Callithrix jacchus: one gene and its partners. The protein of the gene in region 1 purifies or fractionates together with the protein of each later gene. This does not show direct contact. Links are inferred from orthologs where the notes say so. Each region holds a gene or a part of one and is shown on either strand. Other genes may lie near its edges.

Region 1 (3,747 bases):
AGAGGTCACCCTGGCGTGACCCCACAAATGTATACCTACAATACCCAGTCCCCTCCCTCATCCTGGAGCAGTGCTATTCTGCCACCGCACCCCTCCCCGCATCGTGCCTCTTTCTCAGACTCCTTCACCCAGGCCTTCGCCCTCCACCTCCTCAAAGCTTCCGCACTGGGTCAGCCCCTCACGAGGTTTTCCAGTCCACTTGCTTTAGAATCTCCACCTCTGCTTTCAGGGGTCAGCAGGGTCCCGTCACCCCTGCGCCTCCTCAATCCTCACACTCCCCCTTCCCTGTCCCCTCACCATGCTTCCAGCTTTGGGGACTCCACACACCGGGCACCGCCACAAGCAGACATCCTCTCAGAGATGCCCATCCTGACTCCCCTGGGACCCCCTGTCCTGACCCCCCAAGAATCCCCTCAACAGGATCCCCCAGGACCCCCACATGATCCCCCAAGAACCCCTATCCTGACCCCACTAGACTCCCCCAAAGAAAACCCCCCATCCTGAACCCCCTAGAACTCCTATCCTCACCCCACTAGAGCCCCCACGTCCTGACTCCCCTAGGACCCCCCTTGTCCTGAGATGCCCCAGAACTCCCTCCCTGACCCCCATAGAGCCCCTCCATCCTGACCCCTCTAGGGCCCCCCACCCCATCCTGACCCCCTAGGACCACCCTCATATCTTGATCCTGAACCCCTGGGAGACCCCGTCCCCATCCTGACCCCCTAGGACCCCCCTCATATCTTGATCCTGAATCCCTGGGAGCCCCCCATCCCCCCTCTCTTTCCTTTTTCCTGGTTCTCTATGGACCTCCTCAGCCCATCCTCTCCCCTGAGGGACACCCCCCTGCCACCACCCTGGCTCCGTAGGTGCCCTTCTCACCCCACCCCGACCTCATCACTCAGGGACTCATACCCCAGAAGGACCACTCCCCACCCAAGACCTCTAAGCCTGTCCTCCCCAGGTGCAACACTCTCGACTCGTGGCTCAGGGACCCTCCCACCCTGTCTTTCCCCCCATAGGGACCCCTTCACCCCACCTCTCCCCCACAGGGACTCATTTCACTATCACTTCACTACACAGGACACCCCATCCTTTCCCCTGCAGGTACCTGCCCCATCCTCTCCTCCCAGGGACCCCTTCAACCCCATCTCACAACTCAGGGCCCCTGCACCCCATCTTCTCTCTGCAAGGACATCTCCTTGGCCTGATCTCATTACTTAGGGACTCCAAACCCCATCTTTTCCCCAAGGGATCTCCCCTCACTTGGATCTCATTACTCAGGGACCCCCCCCACCTCCCAGATTTCACTATTCAGGGAGCACTCACCCATTCCCCCTTCATCCCCATTTCACTACTCAAAGACCCATCACTGTTCTGCTACTCAAAGACTCCACGCCCGGTCTTTTCCCAGAGGGACCTCTCCTGGCCCAACCTCATTATTGAGGGGCCCTCACCCCATCTTCTCCTACCTGGGACCCCTACCTCATCTCAGTCTCATCACTCGGGGACCCCTCACCACCCGCTCTCCTCTGGAGCTCGCTTGCCCAAATTCCCTCCTCAAGGGCTGCCTGACCTCCCCTCACCCCGCTGTCACTCCTCAAGGACCCTCACCCCATCCTCCCCTCTCAGGAACACCTTGCACCCCGATTTCCCTACTCAGGGGCTCCCCTCACCCTCATCTCATGACTAAGGCACTCCTCTGCTCTTTCCTCTTAGGAACCCTTCACCCCCATTTCACTACTCAGGGACCCCACACTCTTCTCTCTTAGAGACACCGCTTATCCCGATGTCACTGCTCAGGGACCCTTATCCTGTTCTGTCCTCTTAGGGACACCCCTCACACCGATTTTCCTCCTGAGGGACTCCCCTCACCCCAATCTCACTTTTCAAAAGCTCCACGCCCCATCTTCTGCACTGCAGGGACCTCCCTCACCCAATCGCACTGCTCAGGGACCCTTGATCCCATCCTTCACCCCAACTTCTCTACTCAGAGACTTCCCTCATCCCAATTTCACTCACCAGGAGCCCCACACTCCACCTTTTCCATCACAAGGACCTTCCCTCGCCCAATCTCACTGCTCAAAGTCCCATCACTGGCCCAGAAACCCTCTGCCCCGTGCACCCTTCGCCCAGTCCTCCCCGAGGACACCCTGCGCCGTGCACCCCTCGCCCCGTCCACCTCCAAGAGCCCCTTGCACCTCTCGTCCCATCCTCTTTCGAGGGGTCCCTGCATTCCTAGCCCTGCCCTCCCCTAGAGAACCCCCTGTCCCCTGCACCCCTCGCCCCGTCCTCCCCCTGCCCCGTGCACCCCTTGCGAACCCCCTGCACCCCTCGCCCTGTCCTTCCCCCAGGGCTCCCTGCCTCGTGCACCCCGATCCCCCGGCCGATCCCAAGAACCCCCAACCCCCTGCACCCCTCGCCCCGTGCTCCCCCGAGGGTCCCCTGCCCCGTGCACCCCGATCCCCCGGCAGATCGCTGCCCACTCACTCAGAGGCGCCCTCGCTGGTGGGGGACGGGCCCTCGGCGATGGCAGGGTTGATGGTGAGCGCCGGCAGCACCGGCTTCCTCCGGGCCAGCATCGGGGCTCCGCGGGCCGGCGGCGGCGGTGCCTCTATCCGGGGCCCATAGGGGACGGGCCGGGATCGGGCGGCCGATGCTGCGGGACGGAGCCGAGGAGAGCCGAGGGGCGTCGGGGCTGAGACGATGGAGTCGCCGCCGCCGAGGCCCGATCCAGGCAGACGCCGAAGCCGGAGTCCGAGAGGCCGGGGGAGGGGAGGGGCGGCCACAAGATCGCGCACCGGCCTCTCGCGATAGCGGGCTCGGGAGCCGCGAAGGACCCGCCCCCCGGCTGCTGCACCTGCGCAGCACCCCGAGGCCGCCTTTCGGAGGGAAAGGGGCGGACACCGACGCGAGGCGGGTTCCGGAGCATGCGCACTGGCTGGCCTTCCCACGGCGCGGAGCATGCGCACTCGCTGGCCTTCCCACGGCGCGGGTGCGCGTGCGCGTGAGGCACGAGATGGGGGCGCGGGGGAGGGGATGGAGGGTAGAGGAAGGGGGGAGATGGGCGTGCACAGGTGGGCAGGGGAGTAGCCAGACCCCTGAGCGCCTACGATGTTCCCAGGCTGGAACTGAGAGAATCCGTGGGACCTCAGAACGGTGGGTAAGACCCATCCAGGGTCCATTTAATCTTTGTGGCGAGCCTGGACACTCGCCCCAGCGCCCACCGCCTGAGTGTCAATTACTCACCCCCCTTCATCAGAGCAAGGCCGCTCTAACGTGGTTTTAAAAAATTAATTGACAAATAAAATGATATATATTATGCACATGTTAAAACATTTTTACTATAAAATACACATAGGCCGGGCGCGGTGGCTCACGCCTGTAATCCCAGCACTTTGGGAGGCCGAGGAGGGTGGATCACGAGGTCAAGAGATCGAGACCATCCTGGCCAACATGGTGAAACCCCGTCTCTACTAAAAATAAAAAAAAAAAGTTAGCCGGGCGTGGTGGTGCGCGCCTCTAGTCCCAGCTACTGGGGGGGAGGGGGACTGGTGGGGGCTGAGGCAGGAGAATTCCTTGATCCCGGGAGGCGGAGGTTGCAGTGAGCCGAGATCGCGCCACTGCACTCCCCTGGCGCCTGACGACGGGGCAAGACTCTGTCTCAAAAATAAACAAATAAATAAAATACACATAACATAAAACCTGCCATTTCACCATTTTTTAAATGCACAGCTCAGCGGCATTTAG
Region 2 (3,647 bases), on another chromosome or scaffold:
TGATTCTATGTTAAAATATCATTTTCATATACTGGGTTAAATGACGTATTATGACAATATCACTTGTTCCTTTTCATTCTTTTTAATGTGACTACTAGAAAGTTGAAGGTTAATATATGCCTCGTATCCTATTTCTAGGAGCAGCCCTAGGCTAGACTCTGCAGGGGTTGGCAAACGTTTTCAGTAAAAAGCCAGATGGTAAATATTTTCAGCTCTGTGGGCCATTCTCATTCTGCCATTGTTACACAAAAGAAGCCATAGGCAACACATAAAGAAATGATCATGGGTGTGTTCCAATACATTTCATTTACAAAATCAGGCCGGGTATCAGATTTAGCCCCTAGGCCATAGAGTATTAATCATATTTTTTAAATGGCCAGTTCTGGGAAATTCTGTTCTATTCATTTTCTCAGAACCCTCTGTAAAAAGCCATCCTTCATTCAACCAGAGACTGGAACACAAGTCTGTACCCGGCTTCCCCGACCTGGGCAGCTCCTGGGGCCACGGCGCAGCCCCTCACAGGCCAGGGCTGGACTGCCCCAGGGCACCCACCGAGTGTACTCACTTGGGTGTATGGGCCTCGTCCACGCGGTGCGCCAGCTGGAACTCGTGGGATTTGCTCCGATGCAGCGCGGTGAACCCCGGGATCAAGTGTATCAGCTTTCGGGAGGAGGGTGGCGGGGTCCCTGGAGGCTTCAGCTTGTTCTTCTTCCTCATAGGTGGTGTGCCCGGTGGGGTCACGGTGGTGACGATGTTGGGGGTCCGTGGCGGGGTGCGGACTGCGTGCCGCTGCCGGGGCGATGGGGGCAGGGAACGGTGTCCCGACTCCAGTGGCGGGGGTGGGCACAAGCCTGGGTAGGCGTCCACAGTAAGCCTCTCCACATGGGTGTACACAGGGGCCCCGGGAGTGGGGCTGGTGTGACAATAGTGCTGGACGCACTTGGATGGGACCCTAGGGCTCTGGGAGAGATGGGTGCGGATCCACGGGGTGGACTCTGGGGGACACACGGGATTGTTCTCCTTCCCGGTCTCTGTGGTGGGCCACTGGATGGTCCAGTCTTGTTTGGAAAGGTTGCCTCCTGAGTTGGAACAGAAGAGCAGAGACAATGGGTAAGCCATGAGAAAGCCAGGTGAGTTACACCATATACACCATCACATCATATGCACATTACACCACCTGCCCATAGCATCATATGCATGTTACACTATATGCCTGTTAAATCGTATATATGTTATCTCATATGCAAATTATGTCATATGCACATTACGCCATGTGCCCATCACATCATAGGCCTGCTAATTATATACCTGTTACATCGAATGCATGTTACATCATATGCACATTATATGCATATTACATCATGTGCACATTATATCATATGCATATTACATCATATGCATGTCATATTATATGCACATTACATCATATGCATGTCATATTATATGCACATTACATCATATGCATGCTATTTCATATGCCCATTACATCATATAGACATCCTATCATATGCATGTTAGGATATGTCACGCCCACATTACATCATAAGCAGATTTGCATAAATCCAACCACCCCCACTTGGCCCCTCCAAAAATTGACCCTGTTACCCTATTCCCCATTCAACAGCCTTGCCTTCCTCTGCCCCATCGCTGGGAAGACCCCACAGCCCAAATGCTCAGAAAAGCAAAGAAGTTAATTCTTGCCTTTTGAGCTTCCCAAGATCCAAGTTCCGGAAGTCTCGAAGTGATTTAAAGGACTTTAAAGGATAACTGTTCCCTTACATGGAAATTTTCATACTTAACCCTCATGTGAGATACACAAATTCCAAGGCAGTCAAGTTCATCCTTAGTCCCTCCCTGACCACTTATTGGTCGCCGCATACTTCTTCCAGATCTATGTCGCCATGTTCTCATTCATGAATTTGTCCAGTAAACATTCTGTGAGTGCCAACTATGCCCTTTTGCTTGAGAAAGACACAAAAGCAACACAGACGAGACCCTGGTCTCCTGGACTTACATTCTGCAAAAGCAGAATCATGATAGACAAGAAAGCATGCTCACTAAAGGATTTCACATGGTTATTGGTGCTGGGAAGTAAACAGAATGATCTGATAAAAATATGGGTGACTGGGCACAGAGGCTCACGCCTGTAGTTTCACCAATTTGGGAGGCCGAGATGGGCAGATCACTTGAGGTGAGGAGTTCGAGACCAGCCTGGTTAACATGGTGAAACCCTGTCTCTACTAAAAATACAAAAAAGTAGCCAGGCATGGTGGCATGCACCTGTAATCCCAGCTACTGGGGAGGCTGAGATAGGAGAATTGCTTGAACCCAGAAGGCAGAGATTGCAGTGAGCCAAGACTGCGGCCCTGCACTCCAGCCTGGGCTACAGGCTCTCTCTCTACACACAAACCATGTGCTACACAGCTCAACCAGAAGGCACCAAGTGCCGATACATACAAAAACCTGGACAAATCTCCGGATAATTAGGCTGAGCAAAAAATGCCAACCCCAAAAGGTTACATACTGTATGACTCCATTTATACATATTTTTGAAATGACAATATTTTTGAAACAAAGGATAGACTGACGGTTGCCAGGGGTCAGGGATGGCAGAAAAGGGAGTAGGAGGGAAGGGGATGTGGTGAGAGAAGAGCAATACGAGGGAACCCTGGAGTGCTGGAACTCTCCAGCATCTTGACGGCGGTAAATACATGAACCTACACAGGTAATCAGATCACAGAGAAGTAGACCCATTGTGGTGGCTCGTGACTGTAATCCCAGCACTTTGGGATCAAATAATACCAAAAGTACAAGACAGTAAGATCACTTGAGCCCAGGAGTTCAAGAGCAGCCTGGGTGACACAGTAAGACCTTCTCTGTACAGGAAGTAAAAAAATCAGCCAGGCATGGTGATGCACTCTGTAGTCTCAGCTACTTGGGAGGCTAAGGTGGGAGGATCACTTAAGCCGCAGTTGGTCGTGCCACTGCACTCCAGCCTGGATGACGGAGTGAGACCTTGCCTCAAAAAGAAAAATACATAGAACTAAATGCACCCACAGACACACACACACACACACACACACACACACGTGTGTGAAAATAAAGCTGGGTAAATCCAAACAAGATTGGTGGATTGTAACATCAATATCCTGTGATCCTGTATTTGGTGATCCTGTACTATGTTTTCAAAATGTTACCATTGGGAAGAACCGGGCAAAGTGTAGAAGGGATGTCTATATTATTTCTTACACCTGCATGTGAATCTACAATTATTTCAATCAAAAATTTCCATTTTAGAAATTAAAAATAAAATACAAGCATACGGGGTGGGGGGGCTACTTTAGTAGAGTGATCAGGGAAAGCCTCCTAAGGAAGTGACATTCATGCTGGCCTGTGAAGGACAGGAAGGGCATCGTCCCACCAAGGACAGAAAACATCAGGCCGGGAAATGATACAGGCTAAGGCCTAGAAGTAGGAAGGGCTTTTTTTTTTAAAGTCTTCTAATAGCTTATTAGAAAGAACAGACATTTTTAAATCCCCACTGTTATGAATTCAAATTGAGGTTTTCAGTCCTGGTATAAACTGAATCAAAAAAAAAAAAAAACAGAGAGAAAGAAATTTAAAAATCCAGTGGTAGGCCAGCCATG
Region 3 (3,556 bases), on another chromosome or scaffold:
AGGTGCAGCTCCATCTCCCAAATGGGGTTTATTGCGAACAGTCTGAATCTAGGACACGTGCTCCTTGTTGGCAGCGCTGGGCAAGGCAGTCTATTTTTTGTTGTGGTGGTGGTTTGGATGTTTCAGAAATGCATTTTAAAAAGAAAGAGATCAGCAGCAGAAAAACCACATGGCTGGCTACATCTTTGAATTACTGGACTCCAGGACGCCCAAGCCAAACCTTTCAAACCGGGGTACAACTTTGCTGCTGTTAATGCTGTGAAGAGGAACAAAAACAAGAATTATAGCCCCATGGGTCTTCATCAGAATTAGGGTAACACTAGCTAGGAAATGAGCGGAGCAGAGGATCTGGCCTCCAACAAGAAATGAAAATGATTGTTGGCCAATAGCGCTGGCAGAGCTGCCCTGGTCACATGGCATCCAAGGCCCCAGCCACACTCCAGGTAGTTCTACCTGGAGCAACAGTGGCTCTTTCATCTCCGAGTCCCAAGTTCCCAGCATGCTCAGTGCTGCTGTGGGCTCCTCGGAATCATTTTCTCATTTGCGGCCCAGGAAAGCTCTTGCTCCAAGTAGAACTGAGAGAGAAGAGAAACACGACCCCAAAATACCAGGAGTGATGTGACATGTTCCTTTCAGAAATCTACCGAATACTGGGGTGCATCAGGGCCACCTGGGAAGCAGGCTGAAACGCAGATTCCTAGAGCCCAATTCCAGAGATCTGGTTCAGCACATTTTGCTGGGGAGGGAGGATAGGAACTTGCGTTTAGTAAACAGCTCAGTGACTGCCGCGGGGGACATCAGCCATGCTCTTAACAAATGCCGACCTGGGGACTGGTCTATGGCATACTGGGCAGGTGTAAAGGGAATAATTTTGCCAGGGTGGCAGGGTGGGGACAGGGGAGAGACTTTGTTTTCATATGAAACATTTTTAGAGCCAGATACCTCTTTGTTTTAAGACAGCTTTTCTGAGGGTGCCACTGAAGACACAACCCTTCCGAGCTGGTGTTTTTCATGGCCACAGAACTTTCTGTGTCTTCTGATGCAACTCTACAGACGGGACTGAGAGGCAAGAGCCCAGCAGAGGGTTCCTGTGACCAGGGTGCCGGCGTCAGGGCAGCTCTGAAATCATTCCACTCCTTGTTGGACAAAATCCCCATGGGTTAAAAGCTAAGCCAACACCCTCCCCACCTCCGCCCACCCCACACTAGGCACACACTCAGTGCTCACAGGCTGGTAGGGTGTGGAAGCATCTCACTAAGGTGTTAGCAGTAAGACAGGGCCACCCAAACAAAAACAAGACCAGCCCTCAGAAGAACAAGGGAGCAGTCAAAGTCACGTCCAGGAAGGTAGTTAGAAGCTGCCAGACCGCCTGGGAGGGAGCTCAGTTAGTGGGATCCTCTGAGAACAGTTACTCAGGCATACGCAGGCCACGTGGAGGGGGCAGAGGGCCAGTTTTAAAAACAAAGCAAAAGAAGGGCTCGAGAGAGACGACTGGAGCAGCAGAGGTGGCATCCCCTGGGTTAGTGCCCGCATCTCATTGTGCATTTTAGTAGAAGTCACGATGCCGAGTTGTTGATTAGGAGGAAGAAAGCTCCTGGTGCATGCAAGGCAGCCAGGCCTACAACCTACGGGGGGGAAAGAGAAGAAAGCAAAGAACAGCGTCAGGACCACAGCCTCATGCGGAGCCTGCTGGGAGCTACAGGCCGGGCCAGAGCAGCTGGGCGGACTCCCTTTCCCTTCCAGAGAGAAGGGTCATCCCGGACTCCATCCTCCACGCTTGGCTGCACTGCAACCTCAGAAGGGAGCGTGGGCACAAAGAACCCTCTCTAAGCTCCTGCAGGGCACAGTCGCAGCACGTTAATAAAGAGGCTGGCCCAGGCCCATGGCTCCTTAGCCCTTGATGAGCAAATCTACCTCCAGGAGTAATTCTGCTTCACTGGATTCTCTTCTCTTGAGCTCTGGCCAGGGTGACTGGGCCCCTGGGGACTCAGATCAATGACCCAAGTTCTCTCTGACCCAGGGACAAGCCATCCATCTACTCGTGGTATGGACAGAGGCCCCAGCCACATGCTGTGGCTCTTCTTTCACCCAGCGAAAAATGCAAGCCTGTGTAACCCTTGCTGGTGGCCATTTCAGCTGCAGAAACCTCACTTTGGTTTTCGAGAATAAACGATACAAAGATGGGAGAAGCTGGGAAGCAGCAACAGAAAGGAAGCGGGGTTTGTGTCAGGACAACCAGAGACAGGCAGCCAGAGAGGGAAGGAACACACTATTCCTCCAGAACCGGACAGGAGCTCTTAAAGTCAGGGTGGCCGTAGCGTCCTTTTCCATAGTAGCGGCTCCTCCAGCGGCTGGGAGTGCCCAGCGACCGTTCCGCCAGGCGTGAGAAGAGCGCAGTCCGGCCCCGGCAGGTGATGGAGTCGGGCCCGTGTGGACAGGTGGAGGAATCAGATGATGGGAAAGGGGGAGATGACAGAACAGCACATCCGCCACCCCCCCACAATAAAAAGGTGACAGGGTCAATGGGAAAGAAAAGAGAAAGTGAGAATTAGGGGCCAAGCATGTAGAAAGTGAACACTCAACAGGAAGCCTGACACAGACTCACTCAGGAAAGGAAAACTCGCATGCTTTCCTTGAAGGGGCTGGGCAGGGAACAGCCCATCTGTGACTCAGTTTCCTGCCTGTGAAATGAGAAGGTGGGAATGTATGGTTTCTAGGGAATCTGGAATGATGCCCTGAATGCCAGTGTCCACCTAATGGAGTCTTTTCTTTTGTGAGGGAGAAAACCAGGGCCCAGCTTGTTAAGCGAGTTGCCTGAGGTGTGATCGGAACTTGGCCTCACCACCTCACATCACCCTCCCTGAACTGCTAAGAGTCCCATGCTCCTGGTCTCTGCTGGGCTCAAAATCCAGCCCTGATGACCCTTCTTCCAGAGACTCTTCCTCATGTCCCCCAGATGGACGCAGAGGCCCCCGTCTGGGCTTTATCAAAGCACCTGGCATGTTATCACCCTTTGCCCATTCATTCATGCACGTCAAATATTTAGTGACCAACTCTAATGTTCCTGGGATTGTACCAGGAGCCAGGAACATAAAGGTGATAAGAAAGAGTCCTGATGTGTGCAGGTTTCATTTCAGTGCATGTCTGTCTTTATGACACTGGAAACCCCTTGCTGGTGGAGCTGTGGCTTTGGCTACCTGTGTTTCCCCAGGTGTGTGGCAGATGCACAGTAATGGCTGCCTAAGACGCACACCTCTATGGTTACGATCCACTACCCCACATTTGTGCTGGACTCCAACCCATCCTAACTACAAAATACTAAACCCAGTATTGCATGAAATATGGTATTCCCTGACCCCACACTGTCATTCCTCCAGACCATCCGTCTACCTGGCCTGAATCAGTGAAGCACCAAGCACTTCTTTAGTGAGTGACTTCTGCAGGAGAGAAAACTCATGCTGGGTCTCTCCTCAAGTGTAGCTGGAGGCCCACTTTGACTCAAACCTGTAATCCCAGCACTCTGGGAGGCCACGGCAGGCAGATCATTTGAGGTCAG

The links.
Region 2: the proteins of MAP2K2 (region 1) and KSR2 purify together in Homo sapiens (affinity purification with mass spectrometry; 3 studies listed by BioGRID and IntAct, with this or other methods). This does not show direct contact. The link is inferred for Callithrix jacchus from reciprocal best matches to the Homo sapiens genes MAP2K2 and KSR2.
Region 3: the proteins of MAP2K2 (region 1) and KSR1 purify together in Homo sapiens (affinity purification with mass spectrometry; 4 studies listed by BioGRID and IntAct, with this or other methods). This does not show direct contact. The link is inferred for Callithrix jacchus from reciprocal best matches to the Homo sapiens genes MAP2K2 and KSR1.

Annotation. Positions count from the first base shown.
Region 1 is NC_133523.1:3,866,116-3,869,862, forward strand, and holds the start of MAP2K2 (dual specificity mitogen-activated protein kinase kinase 2), read right to left. Parts: upstream 2,762-3,747; 5' UTR 2,580-2,761; coding exon 2,488-2,579; intron 1-2,487. UniProt on the Homo sapiens protein: Catalyzes the concomitant phosphorylation of a threonine and a tyrosine residue in a Thr-Glu-Tyr sequence located in MAP kinases. Activates the ERK1 and ERK2 MAP kinases.
Region 2 is NC_133510.1:120,814,131-120,817,777, forward strand, and holds part of KSR2 (kinase suppressor of Ras 2), read right to left. Parts: intron 1,080-3,647; coding exon 566-1,079; exon of another isoform or gene 1-565. UniProt on the Homo sapiens protein: Location-regulated scaffold connecting MEK to RAF. Has very low protein kinase activity and can phosphorylate MAP2K1 at several Ser and Thr residues with very low efficiency (in vitro).
Region 3 is NC_133506.1:105,807,674-105,811,229, forward strand, and holds part of KSR1 (kinase suppressor of Ras 1), read right to left. Parts: intron 2,352-3,556; coding exon 2,271-2,351; intron 257-2,270; coding exon 178-256; 3' UTR 1-177.